Linked DNA regions of Lonchura striata. Each later gene encodes a partner of the first gene's protein in a complex. Links are inferred from orthologs where the notes say so. Each region holds a gene or a part of one and is shown in the gene's direction. Other genes may lie near its edges.

Region 1 (7,640 bases):
CCAGCAGTACTCCCGGACCACTGCCAGCAGGTGTTGCTGTGTTCAACAAAATGAAAAGGAGTGCGGCGCGGGGGGGTGGGGAGATGGGGAGAAAAATATTTATAAAGAGAGAAATAGGTGTGAAAAAAAATTAGTCACCGAGTAAAGCTTTCATTAGGCCTTTGGTAAAGCTATACACAAACTCCCCGGGGCAATAAGGAGCATGCTCTGAAATGAATAATGCTTTTCACTTCTCCTAAACTCCTTTCAGAACTTATCCTGCGCTATAAATCACATACGTGCTTGCTGTGCTTCACTCGGTAGCTTTCTCGTTCTGTCACGGACCACACACTTCTCCCCGGGAATCCTCTGCCCCGCGGCCGCGGTGGGAGAAGCTGGGTCCCGGCTGGTCGCTGCCCCAGGAGGGGAGCGGCGGTCACAGCCGGCACCGCACCGCTCTGACTGCGAGGAGAAGATAGCTCCGGCAGTCCCGGGCCGAATCTCCTCCGTAAAAGCACTGCAATGTGGGGTCCCTTGCTGAGAATATGTCCGCTGACAAATTGCAACAGGCACTGCACTACCAGTACGCAACAAATTTCCAAGAGTTTTAGGATGTCAGTTAAAACCAAATTCAGCCTGCTCCTGAGAAAAGCAGGACTGCAAGGTGGAAAAGTCGTTTGGCAAAACCTGGGTTTAGGATCCCCACGAAAAATAAGTCCTGAGACTAACTGGGTATATACGTGCTCATTATCTGTTTCTTGAAGCAAGTGTCTCACTATCCCTGAGGAAAAAGAAAGGAGGGGTGAAACAACAACAACAACAACAACAACAACAACAACAAAACCAGAAAAAAAAAAAAATAAAAAAAAAAGAAGTGTTGTTCTTTGTAGCAACTGGAACCACCAAACTCAGATTGCAGAAAAGCTACTGCAACCTGTTTCACTTATTATATGCGTATTAAAAATGGGAAACAAAGCAATCTATCTGGTCATATGTTTCCCATTAACTTCTGATTTTTTTCTCATTCTGCCAAAGCTGTTGTGTGAATACAGCACACACACCAGTTGGGATCAACACTGCTATAAGGACTCCCTGGTATCACTGTAAATTGAAAGCTTGAAATCTTTCTTTGATGCAGATCAGCCATATTCCAAGATAAATCAAAGTTACAATACCAAGAGGACATAAAAAATATAATTATAAGTACAATTCAGGCAAAAAAAAAAAAAATCTGAGGGATGGGGATTTTCTGGTAATCAGTGGGTGTTATGAATGAGTAAAGACTGCATGATCATGCCATTTGTCATAAACGGTACCACATAAAGCCAGTTATTATATGTGTTTAAGAAAGGAGATGGATTTTGGATTTACTTTTGACCTTTTATATATTACTTCTGTACTGCCTAATTGGCATAGTTATTTCTGATTTTCATTAATGTAAATTGAAATTAAAATTGCCATTTATTTTATTCCACAAGTGTTAATACCACACTTGCAAAAAAAAAAAAAAAAAGTGAACTGTCATTCATTGTAGTTTATTTTTAGATATCTAAACAGTTTTTAATAGTGTGATGCAATCTGCACGTCAAGGAGCCAGGAGAATTGGACAGGAGCAATATGATTCATTTTTTAAAGAGCTTTAAAGGGATCCCTAATTTAAACAGAAGGACATATTTATTCAGAGACTGAAATTAAAAAAAAAAAAAAAATCATCCAAAGCCAAAGGATTCTTACTCAAATGCATTTTCCTGAATTTGAAAAAAATCCAAATTTGCAGAAAGATTATCTGGTATATCCTCAAGTATGTACAAAGAAGAAAACAATTTGCAAAGTAGTAATTAAGTATCTGGCAAATACTGTATTTGAACTAGAACAGTGCTATCTACATCTAATAATATCTAGCTATGCAATTCAACAAGTTGGAGTGCATCTTCCTGACTCATAATGTTTGCTTTGTCTGATTTTAAGTTCTAGTCTTTAAATGGATACAGATATTTTGTCATGCTAGAGAATAAGGAGTTTCCATTAGATAATTAATTACCAGAAGTATGTCTCATACAGGAAAAACAGTCAATTGCTGATGTAACAGGATTAACCAATCCAGCACAGTGATCCGGCCCACTTTTGACAGACGTTATATGTGATGTGTACACACGAGAAGTACAGTATAAAGCTTCGCATTATGAGTACCACAAAGAGGAACTTCAGCAGTTCTTAAAGCACAATACAGCAGTCTCCTTCTGAGAGTCAGGACTAGAGAGGTAAAACTTTCAATCAGCTTTTTTCCTTTCGAACTGAAACTTTTAATTCCTGTGCATGCTGTTGCATACTGTTAGGGTTACATTGAATGAATGCATATGCAGAACTTTGCAGCTCAGGTAATTTGAAGAAAGAGTCTGAACCAACATTTCTGTATGTATTCAAACACATTTCTGTATGTATTTTTGTACGTATATGTATATACATGTAAGTACAAATAAACCATGTATCAGCGGTATTGGAAGACTCTCTTTTAGAAAACAGTGGTTTTTAGAAAGTTATGCTTTAGCATTAAATCTGTCATCATCATGGCATGCAAGTAAAATATGCTATACCTCTATGTAAAAGAGATTGTATGAGATAACTGTACCTGTAGTATATGGCAAGCAACATATACCCCACAGCAAGAACCCAGACATACTTATCTGCATTTTATTTTGATTTATGCCGCTCCCTTACTTTTCATCAGACACTGTTAGGATAGGTGCTATATTAGAACTATATATAACTCCTTTAATTATGTCATCTGTTAGTACATCTAATCATGAATGCATATTTTCATCTGAAATTATTTTTTCATCCAATTAAACTTTTAGTTCTATTTCAAGCTGACTTTCAGACTTCATATAATTACAACAGACTTTGGTCTGTTCACAAGATCCAAGAAAATTCAATGTATTATAGTGAGGTTTGTGTTACAAAGATGTGTTTATAAGAATGGCTGCAGGGTTTATAATGCTGACAGACCTGTAAGTGTAACAGTATATAACAGTATAGTAACTGAGGTCAGTAAAACACAGATGAGGGGGTACTGTGGATGCCTTATAACAGTAAAAGACTTATAAAAGATCTTAATTGAAAAGGACTAGCAGTATATAACATTTGTAAGACTTTGGTTGATTGTTCAATTACTTCTGTATGTTTCATTTACTCTGCCTATAATTCCTTGCCTGTCTCTTAGCCCATGTGCCTGTAGTCATCTCATGGAAATGAGAGACCTTTCAATGCTTATATTTATAAATTATTCCTTTCCACTGTGAAATACAATGGTTGACAGTAATATGCTGAGATATGCTGGAATATTTGCTGGGTAGGAGGTAAGCCCATCTAAGAAGACAGGTGTAGTAGAGAGAGAGAATGAAAGGAATGAAAAGAAAGAGGGCAAACGCTAAAAAAGAAGAAGCTGCTTTAAGAAAATTGGTACAAGATAATGTCTTGAAAGGAAGAATCTCAAAATGTATAGTTATAGTTGTCATTTTTCCACTATCAAATTCAAATGTAAGCAAGTTTGCAAACTTCAGCTTTGCTGGGTAAGGAAGAGAATGGAGGGGATACAGAATGTGAAGGCGACCTGAAGCCATGGCAATGGCACAGGGAATGCCTTCTCACTGCAGAGCAAAGCCCTCCCTGGCATAAACTGACAAGGGGCTACCAACACTGGCTTAAACTTCTTGTAGTACTTTAGATTTCTTTTAATTTCCAATGTCCTATTCTAATATTATGATTGCTCTCTGAGATTTAAATGAATGAAGTAATAAGTGCCTTCTAATAACAATGGACCCAATGCAGAAGATCTTACTCAGCCTTCACTCAGACAGAATTATTATTGGCATCGATGAGGGATTTGCCTGAGTCAGAAGCAAGTATGATTTGGCCAGATGACATGTAACACTTTTCACATTCAAAGCATTTTTCAGGCATCGCTTGATTAACCCCAAACCTAAATATATCTACCCAAGAACTTCCAGGCACAGACTAGCACAGAAGTAGGGCTATTATATGGCACTACCATATCATGTCACATATATGTACCAGCTCCTGCTTAGGCTTTCAGTGCCTGACTGCATTTTGCAGCTGGGGAGTGTATCATGTATTATAAACCCTCCAAACAACAGTGCTATTTTGTGCTTGTCAGACCTTTTGCCAGTGTTGATAACCCCCAGCATTTAGAAGTGAGCAGAAAAGATTTTTTTCTTCTACTCCAGGCAAAATAATGTTCTGTTCAAAATACTCAGAGCCCCTGCCCTCATTCCCATCTCATTCACAAGCTATTTAACATCTCCTGCTATCCCTAACAATACCAGGCAGGACCAAGAGCAAGGTGATCGTTAAAGATTTCACTCTCTTCATTCATTCATGTTTCCTCTGTTTAGTTAAGCCAGTGATACTGTTGAAGGAATAAAACAAACAAAACAAAACAAAAAGAAAGGGAAAAAAAAAAGGGGGGGGGGGAATGACAGCTGGGGGGGAGGGGTCAAACAGAAAGGAAAAAAAAAAGGAAAAAAAAAAGACTAAATTTACAGGAATGAGAAGATATTTTAGAAAGGGGGGAGGGAAGGAACCACGAGTAGTGATATTTGAAGAGAGGTGTGTGTTAGGGGAGCAATGAGCATAAGGAAGCCAGCCTGCCTGTTCCTCCCCCTTCCTAATCATAGCCTTTACTCACAGACAAAACTCCCTCCCTCTCTCATTCACTCACTCACTTTAGGCCAATCCGTCCTCTCTCTCTCTCTCCCTCTCTCTGTGTCTCTCTCCTACTCTGAGACAGAGTCAGAACTCTTCTCCCTGACAGCCACAAACATCTACAGCACTTATTGCATTCAGAGTGGGAACCTGCAAACAAAACTTCACAGAAAACTTTTGGTTCTTGTTCCAGAGAATTTGCTGAAGAGAAGGAAAAACAAACAAACAAACAAACAAACTAAACCAGCCCCCAAAAAAACTGTTCGTGAAGGGGGAGGAAAAGCAGGGCCTTTTAAAAAGGGAATCACAACAACTTTTGCTGCCAGGATGCCTTTGCTTTGGAAGAGAGGATTTCTGTTGGTGCTTTGCTGGATTATAGTGAGGAGTTCCCCAACCCCAGGATCCGAGGGGCACAGTTCAGTCACTGACTGTCCATCATGTGCCCTTGCCACGCTCTCAAAGGATGTGCCCAGCTCACAGCCTGAGATGGTGGAAGCAGTAAAGAAGCACATACTGAACATGTTGCACTTGAGGGACAGACCTAATATCACCCAGCCAGTGCCCAAGGCAGCACTTTTAAATGCCATCAAAAAACTCCACGTGGGAAAGGTGGGAGAGGATGGTTATGTGGAAATAGAGGATGATGTTGGAAGAAGAGCCGAAATGAATGAAGTTGTGGAGCAAACCTCAGAAATCATCACTTTTGCAGAATCAGGTGAGTGCTTAAAAAAAATAATGTAAAATATTCTTTGTGCCCAAACTGAAAAATATCCTTTCTGCCAAAACTGCAATAACTTATTTTCTTTTTCTCAGCAATAATGTTTTCTGTGAGGTTGTAGGATGAAACCTGGGGGAAGGGAGAAGGAGGAGTGGGATGGGGGGGTAGGACTCTGAAGGAATTTGATTTTTCTGACTTAGTCTTGGCTACAGATTACACTTGCTAAGCACAGTCAGTCACACAGGGAGGAAGCTCTCTAACCAATCTTGAACATAAAGTCAGGCTGCAGCAGGGTCCTCCAAACTCTGCCTGTAAATCGAGGGAACTTGCAGTATAGGGCTGGATTGCAGAGTTGATGGCAAAAGAAAAAAGACTGCAGCCTTCTGGGGAATTTATGAAGACAGAAAGTGAACTGCAAACTACTTTACAAACAGCCCTTTCATGTAAAAATTATAGTGGAAGTTATAAAATCAGATGAAGCAGCTTTAAGTTTTAGAAGTGAGATGGCTTTTTTGTGGGCTTTTTCCCTCATTTTTTTGTCTTTTTTTTTTTTTAATTTAACACAGCATCTTTGGCAATAAAGAGTTGCAGGGACTGTCAGATGACTTCAATAGAACTGGACAAGTTGCTGTAGCTGATCCAATTTGTAATGCAGACTTCTGCATACTGGAAAAAAGATTCTGCTTCTAAAACACTCCTGCCAAAAATGCAACCTTGGTAGAGTGTATTTTGAACTCTTTTACAGTTCTTTTCCCCGTAACTCTTAGGCAGCAAGAGCTCAGAATATATGTATTTAGTAAGTAATGTCTTTAGGCTAACATAAACTGCCCATAGGAAACAACTCTAAAGTTGTACTTTGCTGTCTTGTTCCTACATGAATAGGACCAGAACCCATTTTAATTCAACATATGTGTATCTGCACATAAATCTGTTAGTGTATGTGGGTATACTAGTGCACACATCAATAGCAGCTACTTGCAATAAGTCTATCATCTAACTAAGAGCAACTTTTTATGATGCTGTCTAGCCAAAGCATTTTTCCTGTTGCCAAGACGGTTTTAAAAGAATGTCATTGTTTTGTTTGGTACAGCATATGGTAGGCAAAGTATGCAAAGGAACTCCAAGCATTTTTGTTTAAAAGTTTGCTGCAGCAGTATAAACAATTAAGACAACACTCAGAGTTTCCAGTCCTGAAAACCTATTGACTCAGATGTTCTGATTGCAGGGAAGCCATGCACAAGAAGTGTGCATGCTTGTAAGTGCAGACATTCCTGCTGGCTGTCTGATTTCCAACTGTACAAGGAGCCCTTGCTTTTGGAGTCTTTGTCAATATACATATTATCAGTTCTTTCAGCATGAGAGCTCAGGCTTTTCAGATTTTCTATCTCCTCCACTTCAGAAAGCAGGGAGAAGATGTCAATGCCAGAGGTCATTAGAAGCAGGAGTAGCTCAACATTAGTTTAGAAATGAATTTATAAAAGCAAGAAAACCTCTAAGCTATCGATGAGTCGGATTCCCCACCTGGTTTTCAGCAGCTCGCTCTGAGCACAGTGGAACACATATGGCACGAACAGTGGTTTCTCTTCACTGTGTGCGTCGCAATAATTTGTAAACACATTATTGTCTCTCCTGAGCTCTGACACAAAGGAATCTGGAATTTGATATATGCCTGCTCTGTACAGTACCCTCAGCGGCGGCTGCCGAAGCCATTGGCTCTCGTGGTCACGTGAGCAGCAGAAATCGTGCCATTGCCCACACACCGGCCAATCATCCCGCCACCAGCCACCAGCTCTGTCACTCAGCTTGATTTACATAGCGTTCAACTACTGTTGCTGACAAATTACTTGGAGAGGACTTACGCTATGGAGCTGCAGGACAGGGGCATCCACTGCGTTCTCTCATGCCTTCTCCTCCCTGCCACAGTCGTCTTCCTTCCTACTAAGATGGTCCTGGAAGCCCAGGCAGGAGGGCTGCTCTGCTCATTTTTTCCATACCTGCTACCTTTCCATACCTCTTTGTTTTGGGACAAGGGAGGGACTATTGGCAACCTAAAAACTGAGCTCTGGTTTGGGCTTATAATGGAAATGATAAATCCACTCTGTGGAGTAACTTCAGATTACTCAAGCATATTTTTCTTCTACAGCCATTCATCTAGTGACTTGCTAACATCAGAGGATCTACCACATTTTACAGGTGCCAATGCTGCAACAACTTAAGTAAA
Region 2 (7,141 bases), on another chromosome or scaffold:
TGCTGCAGTTCCTTGTGTTGGTCTGTGGTACTGCCAGCACAAGACAAGAGAATGTCTTTGGACATTGTCATGTTTGTACTTCCAGTAAGAGGTAGGTATCTTTCAAACTGTTAGGGGATACACATTTCTGTTACTACTTCCTGAACCACCAAAGGGAGGTAAGGAAGGGGTCAGTTTGGCTCATATCACATATATGTCAATATTATTTGACCGAAAACATGAATGACACCTGCCTACATGACCTTTCTGCAGTGTGAACCAGAATGAACAGTTTTACCAGTGTTATTTATTAGGTAAGTTCCCTACTACCTCTTTATCCAGTCCATTGCCCACCATAACCTCTTGGGTCAATTTAATAAAAAAAGAAAAAACAACTGTTCAGCATCTCTGTATTCATCCGATAAGCACAACACTCCCCAAGAGCATGCACTGCAAGTTCTATGTTTAATAGTCTCACTGATGTGCAGGAACAATTTCAGTGGAATAGCACACATAGCCAATACTTGATATTAAAATTCAGCTCACATATTTTAGAGCTTAGTTTCATCAGGAACTTACTTGTTTTTCACAAAAGGTCTTGGTCAAATCAAGAAATCAAATTTTGTAATACAATTTTTTATGCTACATTTTTCCAAGAAATAGCACATGAAATTTCTACAGAAAAGTTATTTAAGGTCTGTAATTATTCTCCCATACTTAAAAAGAAAAAGTGGAGGGAAAGCTTTTCAAATAGTACAATACAATGGTACTCAGAAAAGTCCTTCAGTCTAGTATCTAAGATGCAAATGAGGAGAGCCTACATGAAATTGCAGTTTTTCAGAAACAGGCCCTTCTTTTTGTGATAATCAGTGCAATTAGATGGGAACAAAGCAAGGTAACAAGTCTTCTACCAGAAGAGGACGTTCTACCTTTATTTGAGTGGGAGAGGCTAGTTGTGTGAGAAACTGCATGGGATGATGCATACATGCATCCAGGACCACAGGAGGGTGTCTGAGTCTTTTTTAGCTCCCTTGAATGTTAGATTGCCAGGATAGACCTTCCCATTTGCGCTTGATCAAAATCCATATCTCTTCCAAATAATCGGTTTTGGCATGGAGTCCTATCCACAACCTAAAAAATTTTATTGCAAACATGTTCCTTATCAAAGAGGGGGTTCCTAGGTGGTCCACTCCTGATACCAGCAACCACTCTTCTGTTAGGCAACAGAGTGAGGGGAAGGGCGTAAAAGGTAATATCAATACTAGTACATCACATAGTTAATATTGACATCACAAGGTTAATATTCCACATATGTGTATGTATGTGTGTGTCTGCATCTGTGTGTGAATTAATAGCACATATTGACAAGGTAACTTGCTGATTACTTTTCCTCCTTCTTCATATTTTGCTGCTATTTTTTTCAGAGGCCAGCCACTTAATATTTTGTATTATGGAGTTTGCTGTAGCTGTAGCTATGGCTATTGCTATATTAGAACACATAAATATGTAAATTGAGAACCAAATCTGAACTTTCTGAAAGTCTGAGATGTAAGTATATAAGGGTTTTTTTTAAAAGCTCTATTATTCTAAGATCAGGGCCAGCTGCAAAGATTGGATTCACGTCCAAAAGCCTATATTAAAATGCATACATTTCTTGGTAGAAAAAAGTTGTGAAACCTGTCAGACTGAAAACAACACTCTTTTCTTGTGCTGCCTGACAGTTCAGTTACAGATCGACGCTATTGTTTTTTTGGTAATTTAAATATGATTGTTGGCAAAGCAGAAAGGGGTGGGGGAGTTATAAAGAGCAGCACACATAGTGAGAAAGAAGAAATCATGTCTGATTACATAATATGTCCCTGACATGTTCTTACTCACAAATCCAGTATCTAGCATTTTAAAAAAGAAAAATAAAATTAAAAAAAAAAAAAGGGGGGGGGGGAAACAGTAAAAGAAACAGCAGCTGTTTCTAAGTGATGTCAGAGAACAGGTGTGATACAAATCTCCATACCAGGGCAATCATATTGATCTCCCGATGATGCATGCATAAAGCACATGTGTAAACCTTATCGACCCATTCTGCGTTTCATTTCCAGGAACACGGCCTGAAAACGCCCCTCTATAACTGAAAACATTTTCAGGATAAACACTGTATTGGCCAATTACTAAAAAACATACACAAACGGAACACGGGAAGGTGAGCCTGACCCCGCAGCCCTCCGGGCAGCCGTGCAGTGCCGGGCCGAGCCCAGCCGAGCTCGGGAGCAGCCGCCAGCGCGCCCCGCGCCACCGCCGGGATCCCTCCGAGCCTCCCGCGGGACTCCTCCCGGACCAGCCCCGGCACCAGCGCTGCCCCGGCGGGAGCTGTGCTGCCGCCCGAGCTGCGCAGCGGGTGTGCCCGCAGCCCGCGGGCACAGCGGCCCCGGAGCGGCCCCGCAGCACCTTGCGGCCGGGCGCCGGCGCTGCCCGGGACGCGAACCCGGCGCGGCCAGGGGCGGCTCGGGCCGGGGCGCGGGCGCTGCCGCTGCGCGCCGCCGCCGTTAGAGGGCACTACGCAACCCCGCATGAGCGCGGCTCCGGCAGCAGGGGCGGGGGGCAGGGGGAGAGTGGCACCAATCTGGGAAAAGATTAAAAAGGATGTGGAGTCCCGGAGCTTCTGAAGTGCTTAAAATGCCCGGGCGATGCTCAGGACGAGGAGGACGAGGATCATAATAATAATTTAAAAAAAAAAAAAAACAGCCAAAAAAAAAACCGCAGCGAGGTCAATCATTTACCAGTCTGCTCCTTAATGCGTGTGACCGCAGGTGGTACCGAGGGACATTGTGATTCATGCCCACTTTCAAAGCGGGACCAGGGCCCGGCCTGAGGCACCCAAACAACTGTCTTCTAATATTAGCACGGCTGTATTTCTGGATCTATTATAGTCTGTCCAGACAGATCCCATTGTAATGGGATCTTTTATTAAAAGATTAGCACTATCTCCTGCAGTTGGTGGAAAAAAATCTGTTATCACTGAGTTATTTGCAGTTGTGGGGAGGGGGCAGTCGGGAGGGGGAGGTGGGGGGGCGGGAGCGGGGAGGAGGGGTATGGGGAAGGCCGGGCGGAGGGCGCGGGCGGCCGCGGCGCACCGGCCCCTGACCCGGCACTGTCCGGGCATTCCTGTCTGCATACTTCGCAGTCTGTTGTGCTTTGGTGGCTCAGAAAAGCGAAAGAATCGAAATTTAAAAGGCAGCTTTTGAATAAACAATACCATTTTCCGTTAAGTAATCGTTTTGTATAAAAGGAAATATCGCCTACTCAGTTTCATTCAGCGGTGCCAAAAAATGTTATAAATGAGAGACCGCCAACTTTTCTAAGGAGAGAATAATGCCAGACTGTGCTTAATAAACTAGTGCCCTAGAAGTTCATTATCGATGTTGCAATCTTTCTGTTTCTGAAAGGAGACCGCCTACGTCGCCCCCGTTGCCGTCTCGTCCTCCCGGGCTCTCCCAATGAAAAGCCTATCACCCGGGAACGGCCCTAGGTATTAAACTTTTAGCCGGTTCTGTCTTTTAGGGGTTTGGGTTTTTTTCAGGTTTGGGGCTAGTCGATCGGGGTTTGGGGTTTCTTTGGGCCGAGCGATCTGTCCGCCCGGCCGGCGGAGGTGCAGGGAGTGGGATGTTATCCCCCGCAGCCACCTCGCGCTGAGACCACGCCCGCGGAGCCGATTCCGGGCGGGCTCCGCTCCGCGCCCCGGCAGCACCCCCAGCCCGCCGGAGGGGCCAGGGCGCCCCTGGGGCGGCCGCGACCCCCCGCGGGTCTCCAGCCTCCCGTGGCGCTTGCGCGGCCGCGGCGGCTCCGCGGCGGGGGCTGCAGCCGGGGCCGGGCCGGGCCGGGCCGGGCCGGGGCCGCTCCCGCCGCTGCCCCCGCCGGCGGCTCCGCCGCTCAGGGTGCGCGGGTGCGCGCCTGTGTATGCGTGCACCTAGAGCGGATAATTGGAGAGGGTTTCCAGAAGGTGGGAAATGTCACCTGATTCACACTGAACTTTTTAAATCTCCCCACCCCCGACACACACACACATTAGGAGACCGCCCACCGCAGACAGCTAGGACCCCCGTATAGATTTAAAGAGAGACTGCATTCAGAGCCTGACGTTCATTCAATAGAGCGATCATAAGCAGGCTGGCTAGCGCTCGCTCCCTCTCCTTACTCCCCCTCACGCTGTCTCTGCGTCTCTCTCACTCCCTGCTATACTGAGGATGTTAAATCAGAGAATCCACCCGGGCATGCTCTTAATCCTGATGTTTCTGTGCCACTTCATGGAAGATCACACAGTGCAGGGTAAGACCAGACTGTTTATTCGCACATATGTTTCTTTATTATTACTAATGTTTTCCGTCTTTCGGGCAGGGTTTAGTTTGCTGCGGTGTTAAACGCCTCTCTCCAAGGTCCAACAGAACAGAAGTTAACTATGGGCTTTGTAGCGAGGTGCAGAGGTGTCATTTAGATCCCTTTTTAATCGGATCTTCGCACTGCTCAGCAAAGGAACAGAGGACAGATAGGCTATTTCTTGTTTTTTTATTGTTATTATGGAGCGTGAATGAAGAGCAGCATCGTGAGGGAACTTTCCCAGTCTCGGCTCCCGAATGAATGCACGAAGTTTGTTGGTAATTTAGTTCAGATTTTTATTTCTCCTAACTGACTGAAGGAGAGGTGGTGATGGAGAACCCCAGGATTACATCTGACATTTTTAGAAACCAATAAGTGGTCATTTTATTGACTTTAATATTGGGATTTTCTCCTCCTCCCTACTCTTTTTTTTTTTTTTTTTTTTTTTTGAGTGTGTGTCTGAGTAAATATTAACGTTGTAAATTCTCCTGCACTGAAGAGTATGCTTAAATAAGTTGGTGAGTTGGTGGTGGTTTTTTGGGGTTTTTTTTGGTGTGGTTTTTTTTTTTTTTTTTTCCTCGTGTGAACAAAACAAACCCGAATCTGATATTGACAACTCTTAAGAGCCCTCTTTCGACACAAGGGAATATTGATCTTTAGTTTGTGGGCTTTTCCCCTATTCTTGACCATGTTCCAACCTGGACGTCTTGGCATTGCTTCTTTTATAATTCTTTCTTTTCTTTTTCTCTTCCCCAGTACCGATAATTAATCTAACCTAGCCAACTGTAAGACATAAAACTTTTTATTTTTTTAATAAGGGCATTGTTTGTTCAATGATTTAATGATTTTTAGCGGGGTGGGGGGGGGGGGGGGGGTGTCTTCCCCCGCGCTCAGCAACATCTCTGCTGTGGCCGATCCTCACCCCGCGCTGCGGTACATTCCTATCGGAGTAAGGAGGAAGGATCGAGCCCTGGCTGGATTAGCGGGAGAGTCAATTGGTATTGAGTTGCTGGAGAAGTCACATTGGTTATTCACGGGAGACCCATCTCAACTAAAATGCTTCAGCTAAAAAAGGGGGAGTTGCTTGGACCAATGTTCTTGGCTGGACTCCACAAATAACAGGGATACGGGGGGGGGCGGGGGGGCGGGGGGGGGGGGGGGGGGGAGGAAGACAAAAAATAACCCCAAGAAAACCCACTCTATCCTGTGTAAGGACAGTGTACTTTCCTCTGAAATGTTTGCAGGAGAGATGGAACCTATAACTTTGCCAGCTTGATCGATTTTTAAAACTCTATAGGGACCTCCTACTATAAGTGTCCTTGTATTTTATGTACTTTGCCCACTTTTTTTTTTTTGGAACTCTGCTGAATTATGTTAGTGAAGGAGACATTTGTTAATAGAAACAGCAAAATGTGGCGATTTCGAAAGACTTCGCTAACAGCAAATGTTCCAAATTCGTGCAGATTGCAAAATGGGCTGGGAGTGAAACTGTGCAGCACTAAAACAATGCTGTTGTGCAGCCGCGGTGAGGAGGAGAGGGCAGGGGGAGGAGGAAGGAATTTGCAAGCGCGATTTTCTTTTTATTCCCTTTTAAATGCACATCCTTTTCAAGCCTCTGTCACGTGTCGGCAGTGCTCCTTCTGCTCTACATATGGAATAAATACCTCCAAAAACTCTAGCTCTGTTTTGGTTCGGTCTTCTCTTTCGTTCATTTTGTTTTGTTTTGTTTTGGACTTTGTTTTGTTTTCTTGGTTTGGGTTTTTTAGTTCTTTTGTGGTTTTAGGGAGGATTTTTTTGTTCGGTTGGGTTTTGGTGGGGGGGGGGGAGGGTTTGTTTGTTTTTTAAACTGCGCTTCCAAATGGGCCGTAGTAGCTGCGGGTTATGAAACGGGACAAATAAAAGGAAGCAGTCTAGTAAAAGTCACGGCAAGGCGCACGTGCTGTGTCTGGGTCATTGGTGGCCGCCACTGATCCGTCTGGGTGTCCCCCCCGCCCCCCGCCCCACAGCTGGGAACTGCTGGCTCCGCCAGGCGCGGAACGGGCGCTGCCAGGTCCTCTACAAAACCGACCTCAGCAAGGAGGAGTGCTGCAAGAGCGGCCGCCTGACCACGTCGTGGACGGCGGAGGACGTCAACGACAATACGCTTTTTAAGTGGATGATTTTTAATGGGGGAGCCCCAAACTGCATCCCATGCAAAGGTGAGGGGGTGCTGGCGAGCTGCTCCCCGCTGAGGAGCGGCTCCGGCAGGGGGAGGAGGAGCGGGGAGGGAGTTGTGGGGGGGCAGCCCTGTTCTCTTGCTTCCTTCCTCGTCGGGATTTTGAGGGACGTCTCGTACCAGCCCCGGGATCGTGGGGGGGGACCCCCCATTTCTGCCTGCCGCCTTGCACTTCACAAGGAGGATGGGAGAGACCCTCTCTCCCCCCTGCCTTCACTGGCGGGAGGGAATTTACCTCCAGCGGCGTGTCCTGGAACGGGAGGGAACGGTGTTTTTGCTCTGTGCTCTGGGTTCACGGTATCTTTCTTTCTTTAAGCAGTTTTGACACCAGGTCTCTTCTGCACACTTGGTACTAAAGTGGTGCCTCTTTCCTTCCATCAGAAACATGCGAGAATGTGGACTGTGGACCCGGGAAGAAATGTAAAATGAACAAGAAGAACAAACCTCGGTGTGTTTGTGCTCCGGATTGCTCTAATATCACTTGGAAGGGTCCCGTGTGTGGCTTAGATGGGAAAACCTACAGGAACGAGTGCGCCCTTCTCAAAGCCAGATGTAAAGAACAGCCTGAACTTGAAGTCC
Region 3 (6,901 bases), on another chromosome or scaffold:
ATCTTTTTAAACCTGAGGCAGGGAAAATAATCCCTGGTGGCGTAGGGTCTATAGGCTCCAGGTGTTTAATTGAAAAGGGAATTTGTGCACACAAACTCGCTACAAAAACAGCTTTAGAGAACGTGATCCAGTCCAAATCCTGTCACTGCTCATGTGAATAAAATGATCCCACTTTAGCCCTGCACCAAAACAGGGCTGGGATTTCAGCCAGTATCTGAATTTGTGGATGCTCAGCTGGATTCAGCAACTGCATCTAAAATTTAAAAGTTTGATTTGAAACATTAAAGGAGAACATTTTGATGCTCAGCTATGTCGCCCCAACCCAAAAGCATTGCAGAGGCAAGCTTTGGATTTCATTTCAGTTCATCAGCAGCATTTAAAAGGTTAATTAAGTCCACATTCTCTCTTGTTTTCAAGTTGTGATACTCATATAGTTGTGAAGTATCTTAAGAGTTTTGGAACAGAGTAAAAAGTGCAAAATAATGAATAGTTTGTAGGAATTTTATTATTTGTCCACAGCAACAGAACTGAAAGTCTGTATTAAAACTCTTTTGGAATATGGTGAGTTTCACATAAATCATGCATATGAAAGCAAAAATACTTTAAAGCAGTTATTTACCTTTTCTAAAATAAAATAATTTAGGCTGCCATCCAGCACCTTTTCCCAAAGGAAACTGAAGCTGGCTGGTAAAGAGGGCAACACTGGGACAGATTAATTTCTTGACATTTTGGTCCTTTTTTTTTTTTTTTTTTTTTTTTTTTTTTTTTTTTTTTTTTGTTGGTTTTTTAAGGACAGTGCCTGAATGGGGTCTTCTCTTCCTCCAGAGTTTCAAAGGGGGAATGACTTAGACCACAAGGAAAGATGAAAGAGATAATGACAAGGATTCTCTCTGTTGGTGTCACTCCTGATGTTATCAACACCATGCTTCCCATTTTGCATTCAGAAATGTTTCTCTAGGTGTTCTGAATGAGTTCTGCACAAAAACTCCTCTCCTTCCACGTTGGGTTTTGTGTTGATTCACTGCTAAGAGTGGGAATAGCAAAGGCACAGCTGAAATCCTCAATTCCTAGCAGTGCTCCAGAGAGAAAAATGAGACATTGCTGGGTTTTAACTCTCCTCATTACTCCCTAGAAGGAAAAGTTATATTTGCGCTGCCTCTAGGCAAAGTCCCATCCCACATGAACAAAAGACTGAAGCTAAGATCACATCCATTTCATCTCCTCCTGCTCTCCACAGATGCTTAAGTCCCTGACACTGTGTCTTCGGTGCTCATATGTCACAGTAAATGATTCATTAAAAATGCACAGACAGATTGATCTTGGAAGGGGGAAAAAAAAAGATCTGGAGTTTGAGGCGAAAGGAAAATAGAAATGATGAGCCAAAAGGTGAAAAAGGGAAACACTCCCAAAATTCACATGAGAAAGACATTTAAAAATAAAGAGGAGACAGCAACTGTGCTGACATTTAATGTGTCTGCTTGGGATAAAACTCATCCTTTTACTAGCAATAAAACAACAGCCTAGCCCAAAGCCCTTGAAGCATTTTGCATCAAGTACCTCATAAAAACGGTTGGCAATTTCTCCTAAGGTCTGTAGAATATCTACACCAAACTATATAATTTTTTTGTGTGTGTAATTAAATGGGAGCAAATCCCCAGTGCAGGTTGGAAGATCTCCTTGATCCCAGCACCAACACTCATTGCAGACCCCTGGCCATGCTGAAAAGTGGCGAGGAAAAGGAATGAGCTCTCCTTGTGGTGCTGATAAGAGTAACCCCACAGAATGACTGGGTTTGCAAGATTTCCTGGATGGCCAGAAGGATTTGCTCTGCCAGAGGAATCCTGCCAGCAAAAAGCAACCCCTGCCTAAGGATAATAAGCTCCTTGAGTAAGAGACACCTCCTTGCCATGGCAAATTCTCTTATATAGGTGACACATTTATTCTATTTTTATCAAAAACAACCAGTAAAATAGAAATATGGACCATAATTTACACTCTTTCAGAAAAAAGAAAAAAAAAAACAACAACAATGACAACTAAACCAAATCCTTGCAATGGGAAGTACATATATAAATATATATTCACACACACACCAGCAATATTTTTAGCTATGATTTCCTACTCATGTGGCAACATGACCAGTGTTCTGAAGAAGCTGAGCCAAGTGAAAACACAACCTGCAGAACAGGTCACGTTTAAATATTCTGCTATTGAAGAATATTAAAAACTACAGATTAAGTAGGAGTGTTGTAACACTTAACATTAATTAACGCTTGTAAATCACTCTGAAATACTTGGATAAAAGATGGTATAAAAGGTGTTGCCACATGTCTTGATGCTTCTAGATGTGCACAAGCCCTGACATCTTATTTTGTGTTTGGGAGATTTCAAATCATAAAAAAAATATGGTCACTGGATGAATTTAATGTTGGGAAGTGTTGGGACACGACAAAGAAACACCAAGGTTGTCTGATTAAGAACTCAAGCAGACACCTCATTGTAAAAAAAACTGAAATAGATCAATTTCTTGGATCCTGGTGGAGCACCAGGTCTAGTTACTGATCTGTGAGTTACAGCTTAGCAGTGTGGCTAAGCCTTGACTTGGCTGTATATTCATATATGTGAAATACAGATAATTTTCCTTCCAGTTTAGTAACACCGGCTATTCACATCCCAAAAAAACCCCTTAGTCCATGCCACCAAACAGTTTGAAAGGAATCTGGGAGCACCTAACACCTGGGGGTGGTGAACAGGATAACCAGCTCTCAGAGAACTTGGCACTTGTTGCTTGTGCAACTACAGATCTTTATAGAATACAGAAATCAAAGGCCAGCACTAAGGCTCTTCTGTTTTCCCACAGAGATCTCCAGATCTAAGAGCCACGTCTTCCTTTTCATCCAGAGACAAGAGATGTGTTTTATGGCATCCAGCTAAGAAAAAAAAAAAAAAAAATTGTAAGGAGTGACACCAAACTTGTGAATGAGCAGAGTCTATTAGTGACCTGGACAGGACACACAAACACACTCCAGGTGCCTTCCAGCACCTCGGGGGAGCCCAGCAGAAGCACGGAGAGAACAGCACGGAGGGCAACTGGAATGGATTCCAGCTTACAAAAGGGCAGGTTTCAATTAGATGGGATATTGGGAAGGGATTGCTCCCTCTGAAGGTGGGTGCCCAGAGAAGCTGAGGCTGTCCATGGACCCCTGGCAGTGCCCAAGGCCAGGCTGGACAAGGCTTGGAGGAGCTGGGATGGTGGAAGGTGTCCCTGAGCATGGCAGGGGGTTGGAAATGAATGATTTTTAAAGGTTCTTTTTAACCCAAACTCTTCTGTGACTCTGATTCTGTGCTGTAGCAGCAGTGATGCTCCTGAGCAACGTGCCCACAAACAGAGACCACCGTAGCTCTCACCTGCACTACCTGCAGGACATTTTGGGGCTGGGGTGGCGATGAGGCAGAAGCCCAGGCCAACATTTGACCCCAGCGGCAGCGGCCCCAGCCTCCCCCCGCTGTGTTACACCGTCCTGACCCCTCCCAGCCAGCTCCCACCGCGTGGCCGCCGGCAGCGTTTTGCCTCCAGCACCGGAGCCCCCCAGCACCTCGAAGGAGCCCCGCGAAGGGGAATTAGCGACGGCGGGGAGCGGGGTCGGGCGGAGCGGGGCGAGGGCGCCTGAGGGGCCGCGCCCTGAGGGGCGGGAAGGGCGGGCGGGAGCGCGCCCGTGAGGCGGCGCGCGCGGGCCGCGGGGGGCGGGGCCAGCGTGGGGGCGCGCGCTCCGCCCCGCCGCCGATAGGAGGGGCGAGAGGAGGTGGGCGGGGCTAAGGCACAAACCCCGCGTTGTGATTGGGTGGCGCGGCTGTCAATCCGGCGCGGCCGCCGCGGCCGTGGGGAAGGAGGGGGAGGCGGAGAGGAAACAAAAACAATCGCCCGGGCGCCGCCATCTTGGGCCGGTTCTCCACACGCCACACGGGTGAATGGGTAGATATGAGATTACCACGGGGGAGCAGCGGCAGCAGGGCACCGAGGGCTGTTCCGCGCTGCCAGCGACACTCGGCGGGCTCTAGGCACGGCCGCCGCCGCTCGGAGAGAATCCCCCGGCTCGGCCTTTTCGCCTCGCCAGCCCCTAAGCTGCACTGCTGGAGGGACAAAGTTGGGCTGAGCCGCGCTGCCTCCGCCGCCCGGGAGACCGGAGAGTTGAGCCGGGGTCAGAGTTAGGGGAGAGGGTGAGGAGGGGATCGCTCCCCGCTCCGCCGTGTGGGAGGCGCGGGGAGAAGGCTCTGCCTCCCCGCCCCTGCCGTCTCCTGCTGCTCGCTCCTAGGAGGAAAAGAAAAAAGAGGAGGAAAAAAAAAAAAAAAAAAAAAAAAGAAAGAGGCAAGAACTGGATTGAGCTCGGAGGGGTGGATTTTGTGGAGCCTCCGTGTGTGAGCAGCGGCGGGGCGGCCAGGAGGAGATGTGTCCGTGAGGAGGGAGAGGAGCGTGGATCCATCCAGGAGCCGTGAGCTGCGAGAGGAGCCGGGATCCATCCAGCCCCAGCCGTGAGGCACCGCCGCCTCCCTTCCAAAGAAGCCCATTTCTCCTGGAAGCACGGCGCTCGGCAAGGATTTGCCACAAAGAATATACCACCCTCCTTCCCAGCGCCTGGATACTGCATTTTTTTTTTAATTTTTTTTTGGTACCCCCCTCCCCAGCCACTCTTGTGTGTTTAAATACCAAATATAGCCTCTCGCGGGGGGAGGGGATGGAAATCTCCTAGAAGAATTGGAAATCTTGCTGGGATTCGGGAGTGCTGGTGTTGGAGAAGGGCGGTGAAGAAGGGGGGATGCACTGCTCTCGCTGCCTGGCCAAGGACTAGAGATTTGCCACTTCCCGGGAAGCCCGAAGGTTTGTTTGTTCCCAGACTGTTGTTTCCCCCCTTTCCCTCTCCTGGGCTACGCTAAATCCCTCAGCATTTATTCAAGAAAACCCACGTGTAGCTGGTGGCTGGTTTTTAAGGTAGTTTTTAATCTACAAACTGACAAAAAAAAAAAAACTTCCTCTCTTCGCCCCGAGGTTTGGAACTGGAATGGAGCTGCTTTTCTCCCAAACACTACAGGAGGTGTGAAGTGGGGGAGGCAGGACGAAAACATCGCCTTGGACTGATCCCGATCCGACCCCCCGACACTCGCACCCACGAGGGATGATCCTTCTCGGCGCCTGATGTGGAAAACATTTGGAGACTCAGAGACTTCGTCGAGTTCAGCAGCTTAATCGTTGACTTATTTTGTTTTGGTTTTTATTTTTTTTTTTAAGTGGATTGGTAGCATTACTTTTATTAATTGAATTTTGCCACCGTTTGTACAGAAGCCAAATGACACGTGTGTTTTGAAGCACGGTTCCAAATATATTTATCCCTCCCTCAACCCGGATTCTGTCTAGAAAGAGCCTTGGGGAGGTCGTCACTGTCTAAACAAACCTGATTTTTAGTGTTTTATGAACACTACCTGCTGCAGAAATGTTGCTATAAATTGCTTTATAACGGTTCAGCAAGAAGGGAGATTTTTCCAGCTTGCAGGACCCAGAAAACTGGATACTTAAAGTCACTTAAATGTTTTAACAGCATTGGAAAATGGGAGCTGCTACTAAGTTGGCGTTCGCTGTTTTTCTTATCTCTTGTTCATCAGGTAAGTGAATGTTCCTGGATTTGTCACTTTAAACTGAGGGCTTTGGGGTCAGCACTCGAAAACTTGGGCTGGCTCTGTATGAATGAGAAGAAATCTTATTTTTTTTTCAGGAGGCTAATACTTGTGGATGGCAGCGACTGTAAAGGCAGAAGCTGCTTTCGTCTTTATTCTTAAAAATATAAATAACGTGAGCACTTGAAACGCTCGCAGCGCTTGGATTTCAGATCAATTGTGTGGAATAAATGTGGAGATATAACCACCTAGTGTCACATAAGTAACCTGGCAGCGCAGCTATCGGTGTTGGATGCTGGTTTTAAATAAGAATTACCCAGCTGAAATGCTCTTTCCTTCAGTTTGATCTCTCTTACCCCGGACTATTCACTGGTGAATAGCGACCTTCGTTAATGCTTCATTAATTTAGAATAGGTGCCGCTCTGAAAGGCTGGGCTCGTCCTTTGGTGACAGCGAGGGGTGTGTGCGTGTAGAGATGTACCAACAGAACTGGGGTGAAAAGCCGGGCTTTCAGTTTCTAAAGAACCATTTGCAGCGCTTTGTATTTTGGTATTCGTTATGTCACTGCCTTTTAGCGCAGAAAAGAAAAAAATCTACTAATTTTTTCTGTCAAACAGCAGAACTGGGGGTTCAAACGCCAGCGCTGAGTCTTGGGAAGCGAGCGGGGTGCGAGGACTTCCCCACGCTTTTCCAAGAGGAAAATTGTTATGGCAGCAACCAGTGGTTGGGCAACTGTTGGTCCATTTGTGCTTGGAGCTCCGTCAGTCTCACAAAAACCCCTCTTAGGAGCTGAGTGAGGATCTAACGCGGCTTCACAAGCCAGCCTGGCGCTCTGTGCCCGCATTCGGAGCGTGTCTTTATTGCTCTGGGTGGGTTTTTAGCATCCTTGCAGGGTGTGCAAAGCTACACTTGTTTATCAGGCTAAAAGCTCGCAGACAAGTGCTCAGCCTCCCCGTGTGACCGAGAGAAGGGAGTAATGAGATCCCTGTAAGGATGCCTTTTAAATTTCCAGCGCTATGGAGTTGGAGGATTTTGCTGAAGAGGCCGTTTTGCTGTGGTTAGTAAATGGATAAGTCTCGTCTTGTGTCTGTAGTGCTATCGATCCGCACTGTGTGCGCTAAATGTGCTGTGAAATGGCGAGCGCTGCCAGGAGAAACCCAAAAACCCTGCCTGTGCTAACCAGGGAAACGGCACAGCGGCTTAAGGACAGCCAGAAGGGTGTTCGGGATGGTTA

The links.
Region 2: the proteins of INHBA (region 1) and FST are in contact, whole or in part, in a crystal structure (PDB 2P6A), measured with the Homo sapiens proteins. The link is inferred for Lonchura striata from reciprocal best matches to the Homo sapiens genes INHBA and FST. Residues at the interface, in NP_002183.1 of Homo sapiens: Asp315, Phe327, Asp337, Trp338, Ile340, Ala341, Gly344, Tyr345, His346, Gly360, Thr361, Gly363, Phe368, Thr371, Arg397, Ser400, Leu402, Tyr404, Asp405, Asp406, Gly407, Gln408, Asn409, Ile410, Ile411, Lys412; in NP_037541.1 of Homo sapiens: Trp33, Arg35, Val44, Leu45, Arg60, Phe76, Met79, Asp135, Glu152, Pro154, Glu155, Val180, Val181, Asp182, Gln183, Tyr188, Val190, Arg221, Thr224, Cys225, Arg229, Ser230, Ile231, Gly232, Leu233, Glu328.
Region 3: the proteins of INHBA (region 1) and ACVR2A are in contact, whole or in part, in a crystal structure (PDB 7U5P), measured with the Homo sapiens proteins. The link is inferred for Lonchura striata from reciprocal best matches to the Homo sapiens genes INHBA and ACVR2A. Residues at the interface, in NP_002183.1 of Homo sapiens: Ile340, Ala341, Pro342, His346, Arg397, Pro398, Met399, Ser400, Met401, Leu402, Tyr404, Asn409, Ile410, Ile411, Lys412, Asp414, Glu421; in NP_001265508.1 of Homo sapiens: Asn36, Asp53, Lys56, Phe61, Thr63, Lys65, Val74, Lys75, Cys78, Trp79, Leu80, Asp81, Asp82, Ile83, Asn84, Val100, Phe102.

Annotation. Positions count from the first base shown.
Region 1 is NC_134603.1:104,093,187-104,100,826, reverse strand, and holds the start of INHBA (inhibin beta A chain), read left to right. Parts: upstream 1-4,623; coding exon 4,624-5,416; intron 5,417-7,640. UniProt on the Homo sapiens protein: Inhibins/activins are involved in regulating a number of diverse functions such as hypothalamic and pituitary hormone secretion, gonadal hormone secretion, germ cell development and maturation, erythroid differentiation, insulin secretion, nerve cell survival, embryonic axial development or bone growth, depending on their subunit composition.
Region 2 is NC_134642.1:32,791,986-32,799,126, reverse strand, and holds the start of FST (follistatin), read left to right. Parts: upstream 1-4,140; 5' UTR 4,141-4,217; coding exon 4,218-4,299; intron 4,300-6,353; coding exon 6,354-6,545; intron 6,546-6,943; coding exon 6,944-7,141. UniProt on the Homo sapiens protein: Multifunctional regulatory protein whose primary function is to antagonize members of the transforming growth factor beta (TGF-beta) superfamily including activin, myostatin, GDF11 or bone morphogenetic proteins (BMPs).
Region 3 is NC_134610.1:2,547,084-2,553,984, reverse strand, and holds the start of ACVR2A (activin receptor type-2A), read left to right. Parts: upstream 1-3,900; 5' UTR 3,901-5,600; coding exon 5,601-5,655; intron 5,656-6,901. UniProt on the Homo sapiens protein: On ligand binding, forms a receptor complex consisting of two type II and two type I transmembrane serine/threonine kinases.